Danio rerio: one gene and its partners. The protein of the gene in region 3 purifies or fractionates together with the protein of the main gene of each other region. This does not show direct contact. Links are inferred from orthologs where the notes say so. Each region holds a gene or a part of one and is shown on either strand. Other genes may lie near its edges. The genes, in order: pabpc4, lsm12a and atxn2.

Region 1 (3,757 bases), on a different chromosome or scaffold from region 3:
CTACTTTTTTCCATTTTCTGAAAGTCTTGATAACACCATCGTGGAGTTTTTCTTTTAATTGAGCAAATAAGATTGTAAAAAAAAAAGATTTGTTTTATTCTCCCATTCACTGCGCTCAAAATTGTTCCACCTATGATGGCTTCCGCTACTAAGAAACCTGAAAATGTGAAAAGGGTCAATCTTCCATAGTAAGAAAAAACACTATAGAACTCAATGGCTACCGGTTACCAACATTCTTCAAAATAGCTTCTTTTGTCTTTACCATAAGAAGTAAACTCAAGCAGAGGGTCAGTAAATGATGACAGAATTGGTGAAATATGCCACTTGTATAACACTTATTCTTGTCTCATTTGAACTTTTAGATTGTGAAATAAAGATTCTTCACAATGGTATTCGCCCACATTTTGCAACCTGACTTGACCTATTTGTGCTATTTAAAGTGTCAGGAGGGGATAACACACACGCATACACACAAACACCATTCCCCTGGATATACCTAGTGTTCTTAAGAGAGCTCAAATATGGAAAGATCCTAATGATCAGCTTCCCTTTCTGTGTAAAATGCCTCATACCATAAGGGTTAAGGTAGATTTAGGGCACTTCCACTATGTGGGTCACATTCAACTCTAATCTAATCCTTTATTCTGCTTACAGGCAATAATTGAGACTGCTCACTTCTATAGAGTGATAAGCTTTAAATAAACCTTTAGTAATTGTATCATCATTTTTTCAGGCAAAATGTGAACAGAATGTGTAAATGGCTTTCTACACATAGATGTTTTTCATGATTGGACAAGACTAAGCAAGCTCACTGTCCTCCACTGGGTATAAATGGTCCGCATGGTATAAATGATTCATATGTACATGCCATCCTTCATAACCTTTGTATTATTAATTATTACTTCCAGACAACAGGAATGATACAGGCTTTATTTGCATAGCAAGTTTGATTAATATTTGTTCATTTTAGCATATTTCAATGGCGCTTTTCTAAAATACACATTGTTAGTCCCATTCAAATCCCAGAGGCAGCAAGCCAAGAGTGATTATGGGAATAAAAACTTCAGATGCTGAAATTAGTCTACTTGTAATTACTAGAAGGCTACTGATAGTAAAACTGGAATACATTTGGCAGACATTTCACCAAAAAACTTAATTGCATTCCAATATCATTATCAGTTGATTGATATTTATTAGTCCAATTATTCCTTGGAAACCAAACCTATATGATATGGCATTATTACCTGCATCCTCTACAAACTATTTATTGAAGATAGTCATAAGTACTGCTTAAAAGTAATTAAGATGTAATTAATAGTAGCCTACCTCAGCAGATACTTTTACCCTAAGCAACTTAAATTTATTGTGGCATTACTGTACACACTTTGCACTTTTCACCAATTCATTAATTCCCTGGAAATCGAACCTATGACCTTTGTGTTGCTATCTAAAGTTTAAACTACAAGATTGAGGAGAGTCATAATGAAAGTCTTAATTACAGTCATAACCTTGATAACAAAAGTTTAACGTTAGTGAAAGTTTTAAGTTTAAGTTAGTGAAACACTAAGAAAACAACTAATGCGAAATTACAGTAACAGAGAAATACTTTCAAATTTGTTGTTTTCTTATTATATAATAGAAATAAAAAGTAAAATTCTTGTAAATGCAGGTACCAAATAGCCTAGTGACTACTGTATAGATCATAAACTAAAGTATGTACCCTTATGGAGGTTTAAACTGCAATGGGTATCTACCAACATTTGGAATATAGGCCTACTGTTATAATCACATAACAAATTTAGATCTACTGATCCCCAAAGATCAAAATGGCAATATTGTATACTAACAGCAATGGAATTAGTTATCAAATGCTATTTGAAATAGTGTGAATAGTAGTATATAAATAATTAGTCTAATACAATCAGGTACTATTTTTTGAAAAGAGAAATATAGTGTTAACATAATAATTTTAATACCAGGCGAATAACGTAACAGAATAGTAGGCTATTTAAAGGGCTAAATGTTAAAGCAGCTTGCCATAATAGCTGGGCATAATGCGGTGTGACAGTCACAGTCAGTAAACCCTGACTTTCACACAATGAGCTTTATTAGGGGATAAACCTAGGCAATATATTAGGGCATGTTTAAGGATGTTAAGGAAGAGACGAGTGAAGATCAACATGATGTGGGCAATTCAGAAACACATGTGACAGCACACAGGACAGGAGGAGACAGCGCGCGCGCACTACACATCACCTCCAGTGTCCCTTACAGTAAAACACAAAGCATGACAGAATATTCCCGTTATTCGACAGCCATAGGGATCCTGTTTAAGGGTGCTGTGTGTAGTGTCTTACCGTCCGCAGGCTGCTGGAAGTTGACGTAGGCATAGCCCAGCGAGCGCCGCGTGATCATATCCCGACACACGCGGATGGAGAGCACCGGGCCGGCCGGACTGAATTTCTCATACAGCATCGCCTCCGTGATATCGGGGTGCAGGTCGCCCACATAAAGAGAAGCCATCGGATAACTCCCCGCGGTCGCTGCGTTCATGTCTCGGGGTCGATCAAGCCTCTGAGCCCGTGTGTTTGTCTAGTGCTGAAATGACAGTGCGTAAAGAGTGTCCGAGAACCAGTGGGACAAATGAGTCTCTTAATCCTCTATTAAACTTTTACGCTTCTCCCCGAATAAACGATTTCGGCAGCAGTGACAGCTACAGCATATGAGTCCGGTCGGAGGAACTGGCAGAAAACCACTGGGTAGATCGAGACCTCGTCTTTTAAAAAACAAAAAAAGTTTTTTCTTTAAAAAACGTTGTTTGGTTTGTAGTTATTTTTTGAGATTTTCGTTATTTTGTATTTTTTATATGTTTTTTTTTCTTTTTTTAAAGGTACTGAAGAACAGTGAGTTATACACTCACGGTGTGGTGGCCGGGGAAAGAGGGTGCGTGGGAAACGCACGAGCACTTTATAGCTCGAGCGGAGGAAATAGGAGCAGGGTCACAGTCGGGATAACAGAAAAAACACGAGCCCCGAGCATGCGGTGTACAGCACAGTTAACTTTGATAAAAGTCGTCCTGACAGAACTAATAAATAAACAAAAACATCTGTGCATACAAAAAATCATACAATATGTGAATGATAGTGAAAGCATTGCAGTTGAAGCTGGACGGTCAACTGAACCTTATCATGGCAAATATTCAGATTGCTTTCACACTACACATAAAATATAGAATTGTTTAAATAATTGCCTATTTAAAGAGGGATCAACCATTCTAAATAGTAAATACTGTTATTTTAACAATAAAAAAAAAAAAAAGTTCAGAAGAGTTCATTATGCACACAGGTCTTGGAAATTAAAACATTATAGTACAAAATTTAATTATAAAGCACATTTAAAAACATCCAATGTGCTGTACATAAGAGTACTAAAGGCAGTGAAGAAAGAATATAAAAGAAACAAAAAAAAAAAAAAGCAATAAAACAATAATCAAGAAGTATTAAAAGCTTAAAAAAAAAATAATAAAAAATGATAGGTCTTTAAAACATGACTTAAACAAAAATGGAGGGGGAAAAAAAAAAAAAGTCTAATGTGAATTGGTAGAGTGTTCCAGACTTTAGGACCAGCAAAATATGCTTGATCATGTAGTTTAAGGCGTGTCCTAGGCACGGTGAGTAAATTGAGATCATAAGAGGGGAAATACAAACAGAACGAGTCAGTAAGGTATTGAGGAGCAAGATTACAATTCTGTATTTAA
Region 2 (3,757 bases), on a different chromosome or scaffold from region 3:
AATCGCACTATGCTATCCGAACACTTGGCCGGCACTGGCCCAGTTGGAAGAGGTGGGCCTGAGCATGGTTAACTTGGGCTTTGGCGCGGTACGTTTGTGAGTGCAAAATGCGCCAAAGCCCAAAACTGAAAGCAAGACGTGACTTTAAGGGACTGTTTCATGGATTTTTTAATCAATCTTACTGTTCAATGAACACAAACTGCCATAGTTTATTAAATACACAGACACCTCAATGCACGACAGCTGAGCACCTTCAGCACACCTCCTCATTCCTGCAGCACGAGGACTTCATGACTGTTGGCAGATCTGTTCGGCGAAATATCTGACTGCGTGTCACCGCATCCCTAAGGAGAGTTTGGCGAAATATTTGACTGCATAACACTGCATATCATACTACTTAAACAATATAACTAGAGAAATCTCCACTGTGCTGAGCGAGAGCGCTCACTGAACAGCGCAGCAGCAATGATGTAAGCGTGCCCAGGCCCGGATGTATGTGAGTGCGGGCCGTCGGGGGAGACGAGAGGGGGGACAAGCGTGCTTTGGCCCGGTTCGAGGCAACTGTACATAGTGTGAGTACGGCCTGATGCAGAAGGTTGGGACGAATCCCTCAAACAGAGAAACCATTTGTTTGTCTGTTTAATTGCTGAGCTGCAAAGAGTGTGTTTACATGTTAAACGAATAAAATAGAAGCTTGTCCTTACTGATTCTGGAAAGCTCCACATATACAGATGTCAGTCTGGTCAAAACTATTCAGTTAATAGAGACTTGTGAAGATGGTTAATCATCACTTGTGTAAACCAATAAAATACATGACTAGGCCAACCATCTGAAAGAGTAATCTCACAATACAATATTAAATATAATGCTTATATTATACGTATATTTATATAAGATTTTCTCCCTATATAAGTTAGTACAAACGACTAAATTAAATAGTATGACATGAAGTGACTTAATGTAAATGAATGGCTGCACATTAGCAGGTTAGCAAGAAAACCACTCGTCATGACCAAAACCATAATAAAAATAGAGAATGATGCATGTAAAACGCAAACTAGAATGCCTAATTGTGATGTGCACATTACACATACTACTGCACGTCAGGCAGAGAGACGTTAGCGTTCAAGGCAAGCTAGCTGACGCCCCCTGAGCACGCATGCGTAGAAGCGTGCGGGGAAAAGCAGCAATGTGTGCTTGACAGCCTGTCCACTCTCATTCACCTCCATTAGTGACTAAGACTGATGCTGGAAATAAACGCGCCAAACCCTCCTGTTTAGGAGACAAGCACCATAGGTTTCTAAATAGGGCTAGATTTAATAATTTTGCAGACATTTCTGGATTTACATGCCTTATTTCCACAGCTGTTTAATATCATTGTATGTTCGTTAATGAATCAGGCAAACGATTCGTGGACCCGGTCGACTGAGTCAAGTTGAGCATCTTTTATGTAAACGAATCATTCTAGTTCACCTCAGTGCACAATCTCGTTGTCTTTCCAACAAAATAATATGTCAAACAGTAAGTTTAATGTATTGCATGTGTTAATGTGGGAAGCTTTAGGGACTCGCAAACATGATAGACGACTATGTGACATTAAAATGACAATTACACTAATATAAGAGCAAGTGGCATACGTACTATGAAATATAAATAATACTTATACACACTCTGCTACCACCAATGACAACAGAATCTACAGAAACGACAAGGGAGTTGATTCAAAAGATTCGACTCATTTGAATGAATCAAAAACCCCGCAGCAAAAATAATGTCAATTCCATGTGGTCTCTGTGAGCGTTAAAACCGCACAATTTATACACACGAGCTAAACCGACCAGCAATCAAACAATCTATAAAACATCTAAGTTAGGAAATATTCATTACAGCATTCTTGTCAGACATTTTCGAGTGTTTTCTGAACATGAGGACCCAGTAGAACTACACAAAAGCTCTTACACGACGTCTAAAACACAACATTGCTGAAAAACATCAAAGTAAATCTACATTTCCTATCGCCCGAGTCCAAATGTGTGCTAATATTTGCAGGCCATCAACTAAAAGCCATAGTTATAAACGTGGCAACCAATCGCAGATCCAAAAGAGCACCACCTGACTCGACATGCGCGAAACACGGAAGCGAATGCCTGGTGGACTCACTTCACCCCGCAGCAAACCTCTTTGACAAACCAGGCCTCTAACAGTTGTGAATCCCGACGATTCAATGACAAGCCGCGACGACAAAAGGATACTCAACGTCAGCATCTTGGACGGGTAGTCGAAAGCGACGACCTCTCCTTGCAAGCGCTGCCCCAGGCAGGTGAGGCAGGAGACGTGGCTCCCGACGCTGAAATACTCTCCTGGTCCAGGAGCCGCCATCTTCTCCGCCAGGAAACGGAGCAGTCGCTGCACGTAAACACGCGCAGCCGCGTCAGCACGGGATGGGAGCGCGAGTGGGTGGGCGTGGCGTGTGAATGAATGAAGTGACGCAAAAAAAACCCGCCGCAAGCGAGGTCACGCCCACTTTACTATGGAGTAGTGGATCGTGAATATATTTACTACAGCACTCATTCATCCGCGCCTCCTGCTTTATTCGGACGAGTATTTTGAAATGATATGGGAGACAGCGGTTATCTTCTGGCACCTGAATGAGGTGTTTTTTTCTCTTTCAGAAAAAGTCTGTTTAAAATGACTGAAATTTGAAACAGTGGGGAAAACCTGCTATCATAGCCATTTGTTATGCCTTTTTGTCTAAATCAGAAAAATATTTATTTGCATCACTTACAGTAAAATACAGTAATTATTTGCTGTTTATATTATGTATTTAGAATAAAATATTATTGTCATATTTTTATAAAAAAAATATTTGAACAAAAAATGTCAAATAATAGCGATAATAGTTTTTATTTAAAAAGTTTAGATATTTTTAAAACACTTGTTCATTTATTTTATTTATTTTCTTTGAGATTATATATATATATATATATATATATATATATATATATATATATATATATATATATATATATATATATATAGCCTTTAGGTTTGCTATTTTGTTTTAACATTTAGTGTTATGCAGAAAAAAACGTGCCACATGCATCATTAAATACATTAAAAGGTTATCTCAAACATTTTTATATGAAAAAAAAAAAAAAAAAAAAATATATATATATATATATATATATATATATATATATATATATATAGTTGAAATCATACTTATTAGCCCCCTTAGAGTTTTTTTTTTTTTTTTTTAATATTTCCCACATGATGTTTAACAGAGCAAGGAAATTTTCACAGAATGTCTGATAATATATTTTTTTTCTGGAGAAAGTCTTATTTGTTTTATTTTGGCTAGAATAAAAGCAGTTTTTAATCTTTTAAAAAACATGTTAAGGTGAAAATTATTAGCCCCTTTAAGCTATATTTTTTTGATATTCTACAGAACAAATCATCATTATACAACAACTTGCCTAATTACCCTAACCTGCCTAGCTAACCTAATTAACATAAGCAAACATTTAAATGTCATTTTGAGCTGTATAGAAGAGTCTTGAAAAATGTCTAGTCAAATATTATTTGCTGTCATCATGGCAAAGATAAAATTAATCAGTTATTAGAGATGAGTTATTAAAACTATAATCATTAGAAATGTGTTGAAAAACTCTCTCTGTTAAACAGAAATTGGGGAACAAAATAAAAAGGGGGCTAATAATTCAGTGGGTTTAATAATTCTGACTTCAACTGCAATGAG
Region 3 (3,757 bases):
TACATCTGTTTAATAAACCTGTTTTGTTTAAATGCACCAAACTACATTGCCTATATTTACTGAGAAATGGATAAAAATATTTATTTTCGAAACGGGGTGTACTCAATTAAGCTGAGCACTGTATATATGATTCAACAGGGAATATAAATTTGTATGCGAATCAATTTAATAAATTTACACTATGAATAAATGAAAAAAAGAAAAGCCGAAACTCACTGCAGTAGAGGGTCCTTTGGCATTGTTGCGTCCTCTGTTGGGAGGAGAGAAAACAGCATGACTGAGAAGTTTTATAACAGTTGAACTATAACCATATGCATACACAGAAAATCTTTGACATGCTGTACACACGGTTTAAAGAGCAAAAAAAGTCACACACTCCTACGAACACAAATTCAAGTGATTCCAGTAGGGTTATCGATTGCACATGTACTGGCAAACACTCAAAGCTGTAATGACAAAGGAGTGACAAATAATCATATGCTTCATGCAATTCATTGTGCAAAGAAGCACTTATGTAGTTCCCAAACAACAGACTCTAAAAAGAAAATCTGCATTTTACTGACAGTACGTGACTCATATCCACTAACAGCCATATACCTCAAACATATGACAGATTCTGAATTGTAAAGCTTTCAATGTGTTGGACAAAATTTCAACAAGATCTCTAATGTGCAGCAAAATAAGTTCAGTGCTCAAAGATTAGGCAAAAACTATCAGCATCTAGTACATTAAAATACATTAGTAAGATAAAAGCTGTGAATGACAATTATTTTTCAACAGCCAGGCTGCAAATCAAGTGCTGCATTACAGGCAGTGAAAGGCTCCACTGCACCACTCAAGATTCCCACAATCTTGTACAAGTCATATCACTCTTGTTGTTTTGCGTAAACAATAATCACATTTTCCCCATGCAGTGTGCAACTATGTGATGCCAATTCTCAGCTGTTAGATTAAAAGTTTCCACTGTTAATTTCTTCATTCATGACAGCTCAACACAAACCACGACAATAACATTCGTCTGTCACACCTCTACACAACATACTTACTCAAACGTCATTATGCAAGGACAGACTTATGCATGCAACCTCTTGTAAACGTCAAGGTTGAGAGTGCAGCTCTCTGACTTTCCACTCTACTAAGCGCTTGTCCTCGTGAGCGCGCGCGCCGCCCCTCATCGGAAATGCACGCGACTGACAGATAGTTCCAACATGAAGGATCAATCGAAAAGTAACGGGAAACACGCAGATTCGACCTAGTGGCCCTCAGCTAACGGAATTCAAGAAATCTAAATCGGACGCTGAGTTAATGTCATTGTCAATAGTCAAACAGAGAGCTAACATGTGACATCTCATAATGGATGATGAATTCCCAAAACATCGATTCAGGGGCACCTCAGAAGAGGTTACAAATCAGCTGACGGGAAGATAAAAGCATAAAACTAGGTAACGTTATCTGTAGCAAACAACCCTTTTTTGTTTGGACTGACACAAATCAGAAGCAATTGGTAAAACGTTGTAGAAAAACTATGATCTCTCGATTACATAATGACCAAAAACCTGAATGATGTTAATCTACAAAACATACTTTAAATCCTGTTAAATTAGACAGATTTCTGACAGTATGAGCAGATAAATGTTTGCTACAGTAGTTAGCAGGCTAACACTTGCTTCTATACCCACTGTAACGTTATGACTCTCAGATTATTTCTTTGTAAGTGACTAAAATGTCAAACACGTTCAATCCTATAACAGATTCCGACACGATACAAAAGCATCTGTCCTGGGAAAAGCTGGCACAGCCATATCCCACCGGCAAAGACGCACAATTCATCCTGAACGTGACCAGCACCCACAGCAGACAACCCGCCCCTCTCGAAATATACACGAACATGTTGTCCGCTATCAGCTGTTATTTTATAACCGCAGTAGTTTGCGTCCATTAACCTGTGAATCCCTGTCCTGTGAACTTGGCCTATATCGGCCTACTTGCGCTCTATCCTGATCACTGCAACTCCACAACCTGCGTTTTTAAACTACGACACTAGTGCAGGCATGCCGCATTCCCGTGTTGGTTCACGCTCGTCGGTCCATCCGAATTAAAAGCCTGTTATGCAGATTGGTCACCCACCTGCCCATGTTCTGGCGTCCGACGCCTCCTCCTGCTCCCCCGGTACCGGAGGCCGCAGCGGCTCCGCTGTTGCTTCCGCCGGGTTTGCGATTACCACCGGCCTGCGGCTTCATGGACATGATGATCCCATAAACGACAGCTTGAGCAGAGTTGTCTGACTGTTTGGAAAAAAAACGTTTGATGCCGCGGACGAGAGCGGAAAATGCTATTTGACGTGTTAGCTGACAGTTGATCTAGTGACAGCCAACGTGTAAAACTGCTCCTCCAGTTACTCGAGTCTCCACTGACGCTGCCTGCTACTTCAGCTAGCTCTGCTGATTAATTCCTCCTAAACAGAGACAATTCAGCCCGTTTTAAAAGCAAAGCGCGGACGACCCATATGTTTTAGATGTCTACAAAAATACCAACCCGGTAATTTCGCTATTTTGTTATTTTTAGTGCGGTATTTTCAGTGATATACACAGTTCACGCGGGGCTTCAGCACTGACCGATAGACCTAAACAGTCTGAAAAGCCACAAAAAGTGGCGGAAGGATATATACACATCCCAGGAATGTGTGTACTCCTATTGATGGTTTTATTGGTTCCAGAAGAAATGATCGTCAATAGTTATTGTAAATATTCTAAGAACGTAATACACTATTCAGATAATATTAGAAATGGATGAATGTTAGATTTGAGGAATGATGCGCATATGTCGAGCGCACTATTTTCAGAAGATGCACTGATCACTTTGTGCGTGTGTGCTTTGGCGCTAGACCAGGTGACTGGTGGTGAAATATATACAGTTAAATTCTTCAAGCTCTATTTGGCCTAGTTGTTCTGATTAGTTTTATTTCTTCGAGTTTAATATTTAAAACAGTAATCTAATTAATATACACTATTTTACTCTCTGCTTTGAGATTTTAAGCAATTATTAAATAAAGCGTTATCCTCATGTAACCCTTGATCTAAATATGGTCAACTAAACAATGTTTTTCCATTGACTCATTTTCCTCTTTGTGTATGTTTTAGTTTTTTTTTTTTTTGTGATTTAAAATATGTAATTAACTTGAAATTACATGAATAGTTCATCCAAAAATAAAAATTTACTCAAAATTCACTCGCCCTCATTTGGTTTCAAACCTTCAGGAAAAGAAGATATTTTGAAGAAAGCTAAAAATCTGTAACGATTAACTTCAATAGTGGAAAAAGAAAATAGAAGTCAATGGTTTTAACCTGAATGCACAAATACTCATAAACTTGTCATATGTGGACCTAAATAATTTAGATAAGAAAAAAAAAGGAAAAATGCCTATAAATCTTACACAATAAAGTTGATAATGTAAAAATGTAGATTCTTTGTACAGGTCTGTAGCCAGGGTGCTTCGGGTGGTTCGAAAGAAAACTGTAAATAACGTACAGTTTAAATGCACATGGTAAAATAGTATAGTGAACATTTCTGACAAAATTAAAGGAAATATTTTTGTTCCATCAAAGATTGTGGTTTTGATGACCATCCGAAAAGCTAATCCAACAAAGATTAGTGCTTGAAAATGTCACTTAAAATGCCATATTTGAACCTTATAATTTATTAGAAATTAAATAACTGTAAAAAGGTCCACAGAACCACCATTTCAATAGTCTGCTTA

What was found.
Region 1: the proteins of atxn2 (region 3) and pabpc4 purify together in Homo sapiens (affinity purification with mass spectrometry; 4 studies listed by BioGRID and IntAct, with this or other methods). This does not show direct contact. The link is inferred for Danio rerio from reciprocal best matches to the Homo sapiens genes ATXN2 and PABPC4.
Region 2: the proteins of atxn2 (region 3) and lsm12a purify together in Homo sapiens (affinity purification with mass spectrometry; 4 studies listed by BioGRID and IntAct, with this or other methods). This does not show direct contact. The link is inferred for Danio rerio from reciprocal best matches to the Homo sapiens genes ATXN2 and LSM12.

What each region holds. Positions count from the first base shown.
Region 1 is NC_133192.1:26,716,379-26,720,135, forward strand, and holds the start of pabpc4 (polyadenylate-binding protein 4), read right to left. Parts: upstream 2,736-3,757; 5' UTR 2,554-2,735; coding exon 2,358-2,553; intron 1-2,357.
Region 2 is NC_133178.1:21,729,600-21,733,356, reverse strand, and holds the start of lsm12a (protein LSM12 homolog B), read right to left. Parts: upstream 2,388-3,757; 5' UTR 2,380-2,387; coding exon 2,253-2,379; intron 1-2,252. UniProt on the Homo sapiens protein: Nicotinic acid adenine dinucleotide phosphate (NAADP) binding protein. Confers NAADP sensitivity to the two pore channel complex (TPCs) by acting as TPC accessory protein necessary for NAADP-evoked Ca(2+) release.
Region 3 is NC_133180.1:42,591,932-42,595,688, forward strand, and holds the start of atxn2 (ataxin-2), read right to left. Parts: upstream 2,635-3,757; 5' UTR 2,247-2,634; coding exon 2,128-2,246; intron 251-2,127; coding exon 217-250; intron 1-216. UniProt on the Homo sapiens protein: Involved in EGFR trafficking, acting as negative regulator of endocytic EGFR internalization at the plasma membrane.